Linked DNA regions of Ovis aries. The protein of the gene in region 2 interacts with the protein of the main gene of each other region in a biochemical or structural test. Links are inferred from orthologs where the notes say so. Each region holds a gene or a part of one and is shown on either strand. Other genes may lie near its edges.

Region 1 (3,747 bases), on a different chromosome or scaffold from region 2:
AGTAACTGCCACTAAGATTTGTGAAAAGTGCTCCCAAGAAGTCTCCAGCCCTAAGGGAGGAGGACCCCCTCCCCCAGTATCAAGAACTCCTTCCCCCATCTCTCTAGATCTCAACTCCAGAAATCACAGCCAGATCCCCCACTGACAGATTAACCCTTCTCCTGAGAACGTGGCTGATTTATCCCTTGGGGAACTGTGGCTGCCTCTGGGCTAGGAGCACTGAGGAGGGGATACCACGGGCACCTTGGGGGTGGGGGCATAAAGAACTAACCTCTGCTGTATACTCGCTGACAGAGTTCTTCCACCCGGCGCTGCAGGCGGTCAGAGGCCTCCACAACACGGGACACAGCTGCCTTGGAGAACTCCATGCGGCCCTGCAGCTGCAGCTCCACCTCCTCACTACTGCTTGCACCAAGGGCTACCACAAAAGCCAAGGCTGGCTCACTGAGAGGGGGCCGCAACTGCATTGGCAGGGGTTCTGGGAGGGACGGACAGACCCTCGTGAGGACAACAGCAACAGTCACCACTGCTCTGTACCAAGTTCCAGACTGAACCCTTCAGCACTCTACAGCTTACTAAAGCAACACAACCAACACCTGCAGGACTGTGTGATCCCCATCTCAAAAGTGAAATAACGGAAGTTCAGGGAGGCAATGTCCCTAAGGCCAGAGAGCTACCACATCACTTCCTCGGGGAAGCCTTCTCTGCCTTCCCCTATCTAAACTAAAGTGCACACACACTAACTCCCTTTCAGCTTCCCCCCCCCCCCCCCCCCCCCACTTCTTTCTTGTGGTTTTAATCACTTCCTTCGCTAATGGTTGGGGCAGTAAGTTATCTCTTTTTGGTTATTTTTGTCTCCTCCAAATCTACAACAATGCCAAATACACAGTCAACATTTAATACTTTTTCGAACTATAGGTGTCAAGATGTGAATTGCACTCTTAACCATATCACTCAAATTTCAAAGCCTGTGTTCTTACCCACTGCCCTTTGTGGCCTAGATATGAAATCAATTGTGTGTGTTAGCAGGCAGGGAATTCAGCAGCCTAATAATATCAAAGTCCCCTCCTCTCCAGGACCTTTCCCAGACCTTAATTAAGCTTCCCAGATCCTAGGGCTCTGGCCCTACCCCTCAGTTCCGAAGTCCCTGGCTCTGTGAGAGGGGTCTCATCACGTGTCGGCCCCTCCTGGGTCCCAGGTGCCTCTGTCCCTGAAGACAGCTCCCCCTGGCTCTCATGGTGTCGGAGAAGGGCTTCCACAGTTTCATCCAGCTGAAGGGAGAAAGCACCAAAAATGTTATGAATCCCTCAGGTGCTTCCCAGCCTGATAGTCCTTTCCTAGTAGCTGCTGCTGCTGCTAAGTCGCTTCAGTCGTATCCGACTCTGTGCGACCCCATAGACGGGAGCCCACCAGGCTCCTCCCTCCCTGAGATTCTCCAGGCAAGAACAGTGGAGTGGGTTGCCATGTCCTTCTCCAATACATGAAAGTGAAGAGTAAAAGTGAAGTCGCTCAGTCGTGTGGACTCTTAGCGACCCCATGGACTGCAGCCTATCAGGCTCCTCCACCCATGGGATTTTCCAGGCAAGAGTACTGGAGTGGGTCGCCATTGCCTTCTCCATTCCTAGTAGAGGGGTCTGAGGATTGGCAGCTGGATCAAGGCCAGGTCTTCGAAAGAAGAGCGGCATCCACCTGGGCCCAGTAGCGATTGACAATGAGGAGGGTGGCGTCATCTGTGGCCTGCCGCTTCTCCAGCTTCTCAATTCGTTCTCGGAGTTCGTCTTCACATGCCTGTCTCTGTTCCAGCCGCTCTGCAAGTTTCTTGTTCTTGAACTGCAGAACCTTGAGGTCCATCTCCTCCTACCAAGGAAATAAAGGGGCCAAGAAGAGGGTCAAGCAGGGCCCAAGGACCCAATCACAAAGACAAGAAAAGCAAATGCAACGGACAGGAGTGGAGAGCTTCCCCAGATGAACTGCCATTAGGATTTAACGAAGCTCAGTCACCCACAGAGAAAGCGTCTCGATTGTGAGGCGGATCATGTTCTGCTTCTGCCTCTTCCTACTGAAGTTTTTGACAAACCACACGCCCTGTGGGAACCCGTTTTCTTATCTGTAAAGGGAAGGCTGACGTTGTGTCCTCGGTTTCCTTCAGCAGAGTGTTCTGTAAAGTGGATCTTGCTAAGCTTGGGGAATTGGGAGTTAAGTTCAGGACGACGTGGAGGGAAAACAGATGAGAGTTCTAGCAAGTTTTGAGGCAGGAACCCACGAACCGTGGAAGAGATGCCTCCCAGGCGAATGGGCTCTATGAGCGTGGTGGTGGTCTTCTCCTCGCGGCTCAACTTCTTCTCCGGGGGCCCCGAACCCCCATCCCCAGCGGCGCGTTTGTTGCCGGGTCCAGACATGGCCGCGGCAGCAAAGAGAGGAGCAGGGTCTCCCGAGGGACGTCAGGCAGGTGGAGGCTGCACTCCTATCACCTGCAGAAGACAGAGCGCAAAGATGTGGAGGCGGCCAGAGCTCCGCAATCACGCAACTCCCCCTCACCTACCAGAGGGTCCCCGCCCCGCCGGCCCTAAGCCCCTCACCGGCAGCAGGATCAGCCCACGGGCGCCATCTTGGACTCCACCGGACGTCACTAGCCTCCCCAGCACAGAGCGCAGGCGCCAGGGGCAGTCCCGGATGTGGCGAAATAGTCTTAATTTCCTGTTTCTATTGGTCTCGTTTTGTCCCGCCTCTCGGGTCTGTTTGGGTTTCCTTCCGAACCCTCTTCTCTCCGGGATTGGCCAGTAAACAGTTCCCATGGTAACCGATAACACAGGTTTACTTTCCAGTCCTAAAGACAACGCCTGCCCCAGATTAGCAACTTTGAAAGGAGGCTATGAGGGCGGGGCTTGCATCTTATTACGCTCGCGCACTCTCTTCTCACTGATTGGAGAGAGCCATACACTTTTCCCCGGCTCCAGGAATTCCCTTAGCAACGGTCACCGTTGAGACCAGGGAGACGCCGCCAGCGGATTGGCTGCCCCGGGCATCTCTGCATCGCAAATTGGCTGGAGCGTCGATAGAGGGCCAGGCCTTGGCAGTGGCTGCCTGAGAACCGGCTGTCCCAGAACCGAGACAAGACAGATTCTGTGGTGACCCCCAGCACAAAAGAGCGACAAGATGATCTGCCGGAAGTCCAGCCAACTCCAGGGACTAAAAATGCAGTCGGAGCTTGTACAGCACTACGAACTGCGGCGAGAACCCGAAAAAGACTTCAGCTCATTGGATGAATCGGCCACGCGTATGGGAACAGGTGTGCGGACCGAATCCGGGACCGTGGCTTCGGTGGATGTCGATATCGATCCTGCAGCCAACTTGTTCCCGGTGAGGACGGGACAGTGATCTGATCATGGATGTTTAAAGAGGGTTCCCCGTCTGGGCGCCACCCGACGTTATGTTTACTAAAGTTTAAGAAGTTTCCCCGGGCTGCTTTGGTGAGGAGGTAGAGGTGTGTGACCCCGCTTGTTAATATGCTCATGAATAGTACTTAGGGATCGCTGAAGCCCAGCCCGCCAGCATTGCTCCTATCTAGTCCTCAAGATGAGAAGGCAACTTAGCACGTTCTTAGGCCGATAAGAGATTCGCAACTTGCCAAGAACTAGGGGCCAGAAACAACACAGCCCTGCCTTTCCCAATTCGCTTTCTCTCCGCAGCCACCGCTGCCCCAGCCCCGGATCTGTATATGGTGAGTATAAAGTTTTGGGGGAAAGT
Region 2 (3,747 bases):
TTCTCCAATTCATACCACTTAAAGCGAGAGAAGCACCCTTGAAATATTTAAGTTGCCAACCCCTAGCAAAGCGATGTACTATTAATAAAGTTGCGCCCAGCATAAAGCAGTCCGAATAAAAATCAGGAGGAAAAAAGAAGCCAATGAAAATAATTTGCTTTGCTGGAGCTAAAGCAAATACACAGCTAATCTGCACATAAAGCTTAAGTATGAAGAACCAGCAACCGATCTAATGGAGGAAAACTAAGCCTAGCTAGCTTCTGCTATGGATCAGAATCAGTTCAAATGATTTACCTCACACACCAAAGTAGTATGCCTTCAGGATCATACTCCCTTGCTGTCATTTCTTTTTATCAAAGCACTGAAGAACAGTGATATTTACCCAGGAGGTGAAGGCAGAGAAGAAACAAACCACCTAGATTACTGTTTACAATCTGCTAGGGAAATCTGAGTGTTTGAGACGAATCCTAGAATTGGTTTGTATTCATTTACCTCACAACATGCTGTGGTTGGTAACATCCAAAGGCAATCTGACTTGGCAACTTTGCTTGTACTGAGTAGTTTGTAGAAATGCTTTTGTTGCCACCTTCAAATGGAGGTGTATGCATATGTGTGTGCATATGTGTGCAGATTTCTCTCAAAGGCTATATGACCAAAGGAATATAAGGCATTGAGAAGAAAATAAATAACAGAAAGACCCTTTTCTGTTTAAAAATACCTCAAATATTAAAGATGTCAATCAGTAGTTCAAATACTTTTAATCATCTTTTTAAATGCATTAAGCTTTCAAAAGCAATTAACTATACACACACATACACACACATTTGAGTGCACATAAAACTATATCTATGTCAATTTCCTGGTTGTGCACAGTCATTCCAGATGTTACCAGGGGAGAGGGGGGAACAGGTGAAGGGTACACAAGGTCTCTCTGTATTATTATTTATTACAATTCCACACAAATCTATAATTATATCAAAACAAGAAGCTTTAAAAAGTCCTTAAAAAGCAACTTAGTGTGTTTTTAAAAGTCAAACCTAAACCTAAAAATCATGTACCTGTAAGTACGTGTAGTATCTTGAAGTAGGTTGGACACTGGTAAGAGAGTACTTTAAGGCTCCCCTCAATTGTGAAACTGCCTTGAGATTACTGATCATAAAGTCTTGATAAAAGCACACGCTGAAAACTCATTTAAAAATAAGAAACAAGGAACTGGCTATTGAAGGTGCCATTAAAGACCACTTTAAAGCAGTGAGGCTGAAAAGCACTCAATGTCAGATTATAGAAACCAGACAGTTGTGTGCAAGGGATTCCTGCATCCATTCAACATCCAACACCACACATGAGGCACCTGCTGAACACAGTTCCCACCCTTGTGACAGAATTCTGAACCAGACAGTCCCTGGGGTCTCCGAGTTGATCAGCAAGTGGTTGGGTTGATCCTGATGGAGGGGGTGGTGGTCCTGAATTTAGCAAGATCACAACCCAAACCTCACAAACCCTTAACATCAGTGGTATTATGCTCCTTTTAAAAAGTGACTGCCTTACTCAGATTTTTTTAAGCAGCAGTTCTAGTCAAGCGGACAATAGCCAGAACAACCTGCCACAGACTGGACTCCTCTCAAGTCTTTAGCAGGCAAAGGCTAGGGAGAAGCGGGTTATTAAGTAGGAGGCACTTCCAGGCTGACTGGGAAACACTTTCCCCAGAAGATCAGGGTCCCAAAAGGTGGGTAAAGAAACTCTCTTACCATCCTCAAACGGGGTCCCTTCAGGCCTACAACACAGAGAGAAACAAGTCAGTTCCCACATCAGGGGCTCCTCTCTCCCCGGTTCATCTGTTCGCCCCACCTCTGGTAAACCACCGCTTCCCGGGTTGCAAAGCCACGACCAATAGAGCTTTGGGGCTCAGAAACCCCAGGCAGGCCGAAGCGCCACCGCTCCCCGCCCCGCCCCCCTCCGAACCCCAAACGGTTCCCCTGGCAGCGCGAACCGAGCTAATCGAGGCACAGGCTCCGGGGAGGCGCCTAGGCCCAACGAGCCCCAAACCTTCTCTCTCAGTCCCCGCCTCCGCACCGGGTGGGTCCCAGAGGGCACACGGGTCCCCCGGCCCTCACCACCATCCGGAACGCAGACTCACCCAAAAATGACCGCGTTCCAAACCATGATGTTGTTCTCGGACGGAGCCCCGCTGACTCCGGCAGGAGGATCCTCCTGTAACCTACAGGGAAACACCACAGGAACCTCCCGCTATCCTGAACCCGCCGCCCGCCCGGCCCGCTGCCGGCCCCGCCCTGTACCCCGGCGGCAGCCCCCGGCCCCTAGAGTCCCGGGCGGGTTACCTCTTGAAGTCCCTCATGAGACGCCGCCGAGCCGGGGTGGACATGTCTCTAGCGGGGTCAGGGGTGGGGCATACACCGAGCTCTCGGGTCCCCGCGGGTGGTGAGGAGGCTGAGGAAGCCGGAGGAACCAACGGAGAACCGCCTAGAGGAACCGCACTGCCTCTCCTAAGTCGAGGGTCGATCTGGCGCCGGCTTAGCACCACCCCAGAGTAGACCGGGGCTGAACCAACCTGGAAGGAAACGACGGGGGTGGAACGCCAAACGCCGGACAGACCGTACCAAGACGGGACAGGGGTGGGGGGGGGGAGGAAAGTTGCTTAGGTCATTAAACCCCTGAGGGACGGGGGGAGCGAGGGTGAGAAGCAAGCTGCGGGCCTCATGTAATTGCCGGGAACTCAATAGGATCGGGTGGTGGAATCGGTCCACCTTCACTTGCCAATTCTAAGACGAACCGTGGGAAGCTTTTTTTCTACTTTTCCTTTTTCTTCTTCTTCTTTTTTTTTTTTTTTTTTGAGATCAGATCACTTATTAAAGTGCGCACAGTGGCTGAGGGGGAGAAGGATGAAGTCTCAATCTCAATGAGGACAGAGTGGATGAAGGCGAAACCAGTTCTCCTAAAGCCAGAAATCTAGGGGGTACACCTCCTACGGACACGGGAAACTGGGGAGGAAGCTGTGTGACTGGTCAAAATCACTGAACATCCAAAGAGTAAATCGACCTCGATGGTGAGGTCGAGGGTCCCTTCTCTATGGGATGAATGTGCGGGCCCCAACATTTAGGCCGATGATCACCCCCAAAGCAGAATGAAATGGTGATGTGTGTCCTGGGGGAGGGAATGAGAGCTGGAGGCAAGCAGAATGAGGCTTTAGCTTTGGGCACTCACAATTTGGCTCTGGAACCACATTTCCCCTTGACAGTTCAACAAGCCAAGTGGCTACTATATGTTCAGAAGAGTCCAAGGGTATGAGAATATCCGATTGCAGAGAATTGGAAGAGCAGTGAGTCTGAAGTAAAAGGAACGGTAAGATGCACGTGAAAAAGCTGTAGGTTGCAGGGAAGAGTCACAGTTAGTATGTGGACCTGCAAAAGCAATAACAGTTTTAAAGAATGTTTTTTAAAAAGGTCAACTCCAAATAACATAGAAGGTAGGCAAAATACTCATTTAAGAATTTTTTGGAAATATGAGAAAAGTAGGTCTAGGTTCACTCAGGGAGAGTTTTGAATGCCAAGCTGATGGCTTCCTTGGAAGTTGGTTGAGCAGAAAGGCAACATGATCAGAGCTGTACTCACTGGAGACGGGTCCCAGGACAGCAATTAGAAGACTCTTGAAGTATTCCAGGTGAGAGGTAGTGAACCAGGCAATGACAATAAAAACAGACAGGACTTGCCAACAGAACGTGGGGACAAG
Region 3 (3,747 bases), on a different chromosome or scaffold from region 2:
CAATATACCAGTAATTCCAAACACCAAAGTTTTTCCATGGATCCTCAGTTAGGAATTATGGATTTGGGGTCTGATTTCTATTCATTATAAGAAAGAACTCCAAATAGAGCTACTTCTGGAAACAGCTAATTCTTTGTCCCTGGAGAAGTTCAAGCAAACACCAGGAGAGAAATGGATGGACACACTGTAAAAGGAATTAGAATAGTGGGGGGTGGGGGAGGGCTGGCTTTCCAAACTTCAGATTCCATGATTCTAATATGGGCTCAGTCAGTTACACCACTGAACACTCTCTGGTACTGAATCCTACTCAGGCTGCTGTGCGACAGCCAACCCAGAGACATGGAACCTGCCACTAAAGGAAACTGTGGAAGTTTTGTGGGAATACATAAAACATGCTTAAATCTACAAAGCAGGCAGCTTTACAAGTTATAGAGCTTTCACTTCCCTTACTCAATTTATAATCTTTATGACAACAAATAAAAAGCAGGGGGAGAAATAACACATTATGTGTTGATAATAATAATAAAGATATATTAATTTAATGCTTACTACCTTCTAGATGGTCTTTCCAGATGGCTCAGTGGTAAAAGAATTCACCTGCCAATGTAGGAGACGCAGGCTCGATCCCTGGGTTGGGACAATCCCCTGGAGAAGGAAATAACAACCCACTCCAATATTCTTGCCTGGGAAATCCCATGGACAGAGGAGCCTGACTGGCTGTAGCTCATGGGGTCACAAAAGAGTCAGATACGAATTAGCGACTAAACAACAAGAAAACCTTCAGTCGATAAGCAAACAATTTTTGAGCGTCCACAATGTGCCAGGCATTGTGTTAGGCACCACGAATAAACCAAACAGGATCCCCATCCACATACATCAACTCATTTCACCAACTATATGAACTATTTCTGTCTCCAATTTATAGATGAAGAGATTCAGGCTCAGCGAAGTTAAGTAACTGAATCAAGGCCACACAGTTAAATAGGAGGCAGAAACTAATTTAACACAGAAGCACTGGAACTCAATATACGCTCTTCTCCACTGTACATTGGTGCCAAGGCCACCACAAACGCAGAACCACAGCTTTCCAAAATCCTTCCACGATGTCAGCTTTTCACTATGGGGAGATCTCAAGTCACCAGGCACTTCAGATGATACTGAGGACAGCAGATATTAACCTCTTCTAAGTCCCTTCACTTTATCCTCAAACTCATCTTATGAGTGAGTGGGGCAGATACCATAATTCCTAGTTAACAAAATGGAGCAACAGGAGAATGTGATCCTGCTCAGTCACACTGAAATAATCACAGAACAAGGAGAAAAACCAGGCAACTGATTCTTAGCTAGTACAGTACAGTGTATTCGCTCTCGATCAAACACTGTACGAATCCAGGACTCACTACTATTGTCCACGGAGCAAAAATGAATGTTATTTAATAGTAAAAGACTTCAATAAAATGAAAGGCTGGTCTAAGTGAGAATCCAGATTTGTTTGAGAGAGAAAGTGATGCACAAGAGTTAAGAGTTAGAACACAGTTAGGGAGGACTTAACGCAAATTAGCACTAGGCTTCTTGAGCGTAATTAAAAGAAATGAGACAGCAAAAGAGACACAGATGTATAGAACGGACTTTTAGACTCTGTGGGAGAGGGAGAGGGTGGGATGATTTGGGAGAATGGCACTGAAACATGTATACTATCAGGTAAGAAACGAATCGCCAGTCTATGTTCGATACAGGATACAGGATGCTTGGGGCTGGTGCACGGGGATGACCCAGAGAGATGATATGGGGTGGGAGGGGGGAGGGGGGTTCAGGATTGGGAACTCATGTACACCCGTGGCTGATTCATGTCAATGTATGGCAAAACCAATACAGTATTGTAAAGTAAAATAAAGTAAAAAAAAAAAAAAAAGAAAGAAAGAAAGAAATGAAAGAAAATGTAAAGGAGACACCTGCTTTGCTAGGTGATTAAATAAATGTTTCTTGATGCAAGATCCACCCAAACTCTGTCCGGTGTCACTGTGGGAGATTCTCCACTAAAGTACTGGGAGAGTTTACATAATGCTTGACACGCCATGAGCTCTAAGAAAAGATTAGAGCTCTGTTGTTAGATTAGAGCACTGTTGTTTCCACTGTTTGGAGTAATGTTTCTCTCAGGATCATTGTTGTTGTTGTGACTGAACCGCAGAGTATCCCGTTCCACACGACGGCCAATCTCGGCTCACCATCAGTGACCGAGGCCTGTTCCCGGCACTTGCCGGAGGAGGAAACAGGCCCAGCGTCACGCGATGGCAAGCAGCGGGGCAGGGCAGAGTACCCTGGCCCAGCTGGCCGCTGGCGCCCGGTTCTTTCCCCTCAAGGTGGGGCTAGCCTCCCGCGGTCGCCCAGACGGCCCCGACCTCCCCAAGGCACTCACCTTCATGACTGCCAGGGCCGGAGGCCACCGGGGCTCGACCAGGGAGTCCATGGTCTCCTCTAAAGAAACTGAGGGGGTCCGCTACCCGCTGGTCTCCTGCGCTCCTCAGCCACTCGAAATTCCCCGCGCTACCGGGCTACGTCATCAGTCCGCGACGCGCCCGACGCGTTTGCAGAGCATGCTGGGAGTTGCAGTACGTGGGCGGAGCGCAGCCCGCCCTTATTGCTCTTATTGCTCAAGCGCCAGGCTCCCGCAACGGCTCTGTGCGCACCTATGCGGTTAAAAAGCCCGCAGGCGGGTTTTGTAGTACACGCTTACTAAATGAATGCCTGTTGAATTTTAGAAAAAGACAGCCTAGAATCAAACCGCATCCAGGCCTTGTCAAACCTTTCCAAGTCTAGGCTCATGCCTCCTCATTTCGGTCGCCCTCTCTGATTGCCATAAAGATCTGTCCCTTCTCACTCCATCACAACATTGTGAGGTGAGTATTATCATTATTAGTTTACGCAGGAGAAAACTTCGGCTCAGAAAAAGTGAATAGAGTTTCTTTGAGTTACACAATGTCTTTGACCTGGCTACAAATAGAGCCTCTGGACTGAAAATAGGAGTTCTTTTCTCACATAGGATGGTTAACCTAATTTAACATCTTACCTTTGGAGCATAGCCTTCCAAATATTTCCTGTGCAGAAACACAGATACAGTGGGTTTTTTTGCCACAAATGTTATTATATTAAATGCACACCTCTGTCAACTTGAATTTTTGTTTGTTTACCTACAGACATCCTGAAATTTCTCCATGTTAATACATATAGATATACCTCATTCCTTTTGCTAGCTATGTAGTCCGTAATGCAGATGTACCACAATTTATTTACCTATGCCCATCTGACAACCATTTAAGTTGTTGCCAGTTTTTCATTATTACAAACAGTTGTAATGAACACATTATCTATATAAATCTTAGCATACCTGAGCCAGAATATCTGGGGATAATTTCCTGTAAATGGAACTACTGAGTCAACTTGTGTGCTCTTTTGACACTACAATAGCGAGCACCATATGACTTTCCGAAAAGGCTGAACCGATACATTTATACTCTCACCAAGTGAGTATGAGTGCTTGTTATCCAAACATGAAGCACTGACCAGCACATCACCCAGACTGTCTGCTCAACTCAGCACTCATGGATAGGCTGCCTGATGTGTGCCTCACACATGAGATCTCATGAGCAGCAAGTCAGCACGGTTATATTGCTCAGGAAGACCCCTGCGGCTTGCCACTGCCACCACATGTGGTCCATGCATCCATTCTTGCAATCATTTTTTGAAGTG

What was found.
Region 1: the proteins of UBE2A (region 2) and RNF40 form a complex in vitro, tested with the Homo sapiens proteins (3 studies listed by BioGRID). The link is inferred for Ovis aries from reciprocal best matches to the Homo sapiens genes UBE2A and RNF40.
Region 3: the proteins of UBE2A (region 2) and RAD18 form a complex in vitro, tested with the Homo sapiens proteins (12 studies listed by BioGRID, with this or other methods). The link is inferred for Ovis aries from reciprocal best matches to the Homo sapiens genes UBE2A and RAD18.

The regions. Positions count from the first base shown.
Region 1 is NC_056077.1:27,399,403-27,403,149, reverse strand, and holds the start of RNF40 (E3 ubiquitin-protein ligase BRE1B), read right to left. Parts: upstream 2,632-3,747; 5' UTR 2,580-2,631; intron 2,472-2,579; 5' UTR 2,400-2,471; coding exon 2,268-2,399; intron 1,858-2,267; coding exon 1,690-1,857; intron 1,272-1,689; coding exon 1,130-1,271; intron 479-1,129; coding exon 272-478; intron 1-271. Other genes in the region: CFAP119 (cilia- and flagella-associated protein 119), read left to right, coding at 3,157-3,360, 3,690-3,721.
Region 2 is NC_056080.1:114,920,165-114,923,911, forward strand, and holds the start of UBE2A (ubiquitin-conjugating enzyme E2 A), read right to left. Parts: upstream 2,524-3,747; 5' UTR 2,384-2,523; coding exon 2,340-2,383; intron 2,219-2,339; coding exon 2,138-2,218; intron 1,775-2,137; coding exon 1,749-1,774; intron 1-1,748. UniProt on the Homo sapiens protein: E2 ubiquitin-conjugating enzyme that accepts ubiquitin from the ubiquitin-activating enzyme E1 and transfers it to a E3 ubiquitin-protein ligase. In vitro catalyzes 'Lys-11', as well as 'Lys-48'-linked polyubiquitination.
Region 3 is NC_056072.1:17,558,106-17,561,852, reverse strand, and holds the start of RAD18 (E3 ubiquitin-protein ligase RAD18), read right to left. Parts: upstream 2,555-3,747; 5' UTR 2,468-2,554; coding exon 2,417-2,467; intron 1-2,416. UniProt on the Homo sapiens protein: E3 ubiquitin-protein ligase involved in postreplication repair of UV-damaged DNA. Postreplication repair functions in gap-filling of a daughter strand on replication of damaged DNA.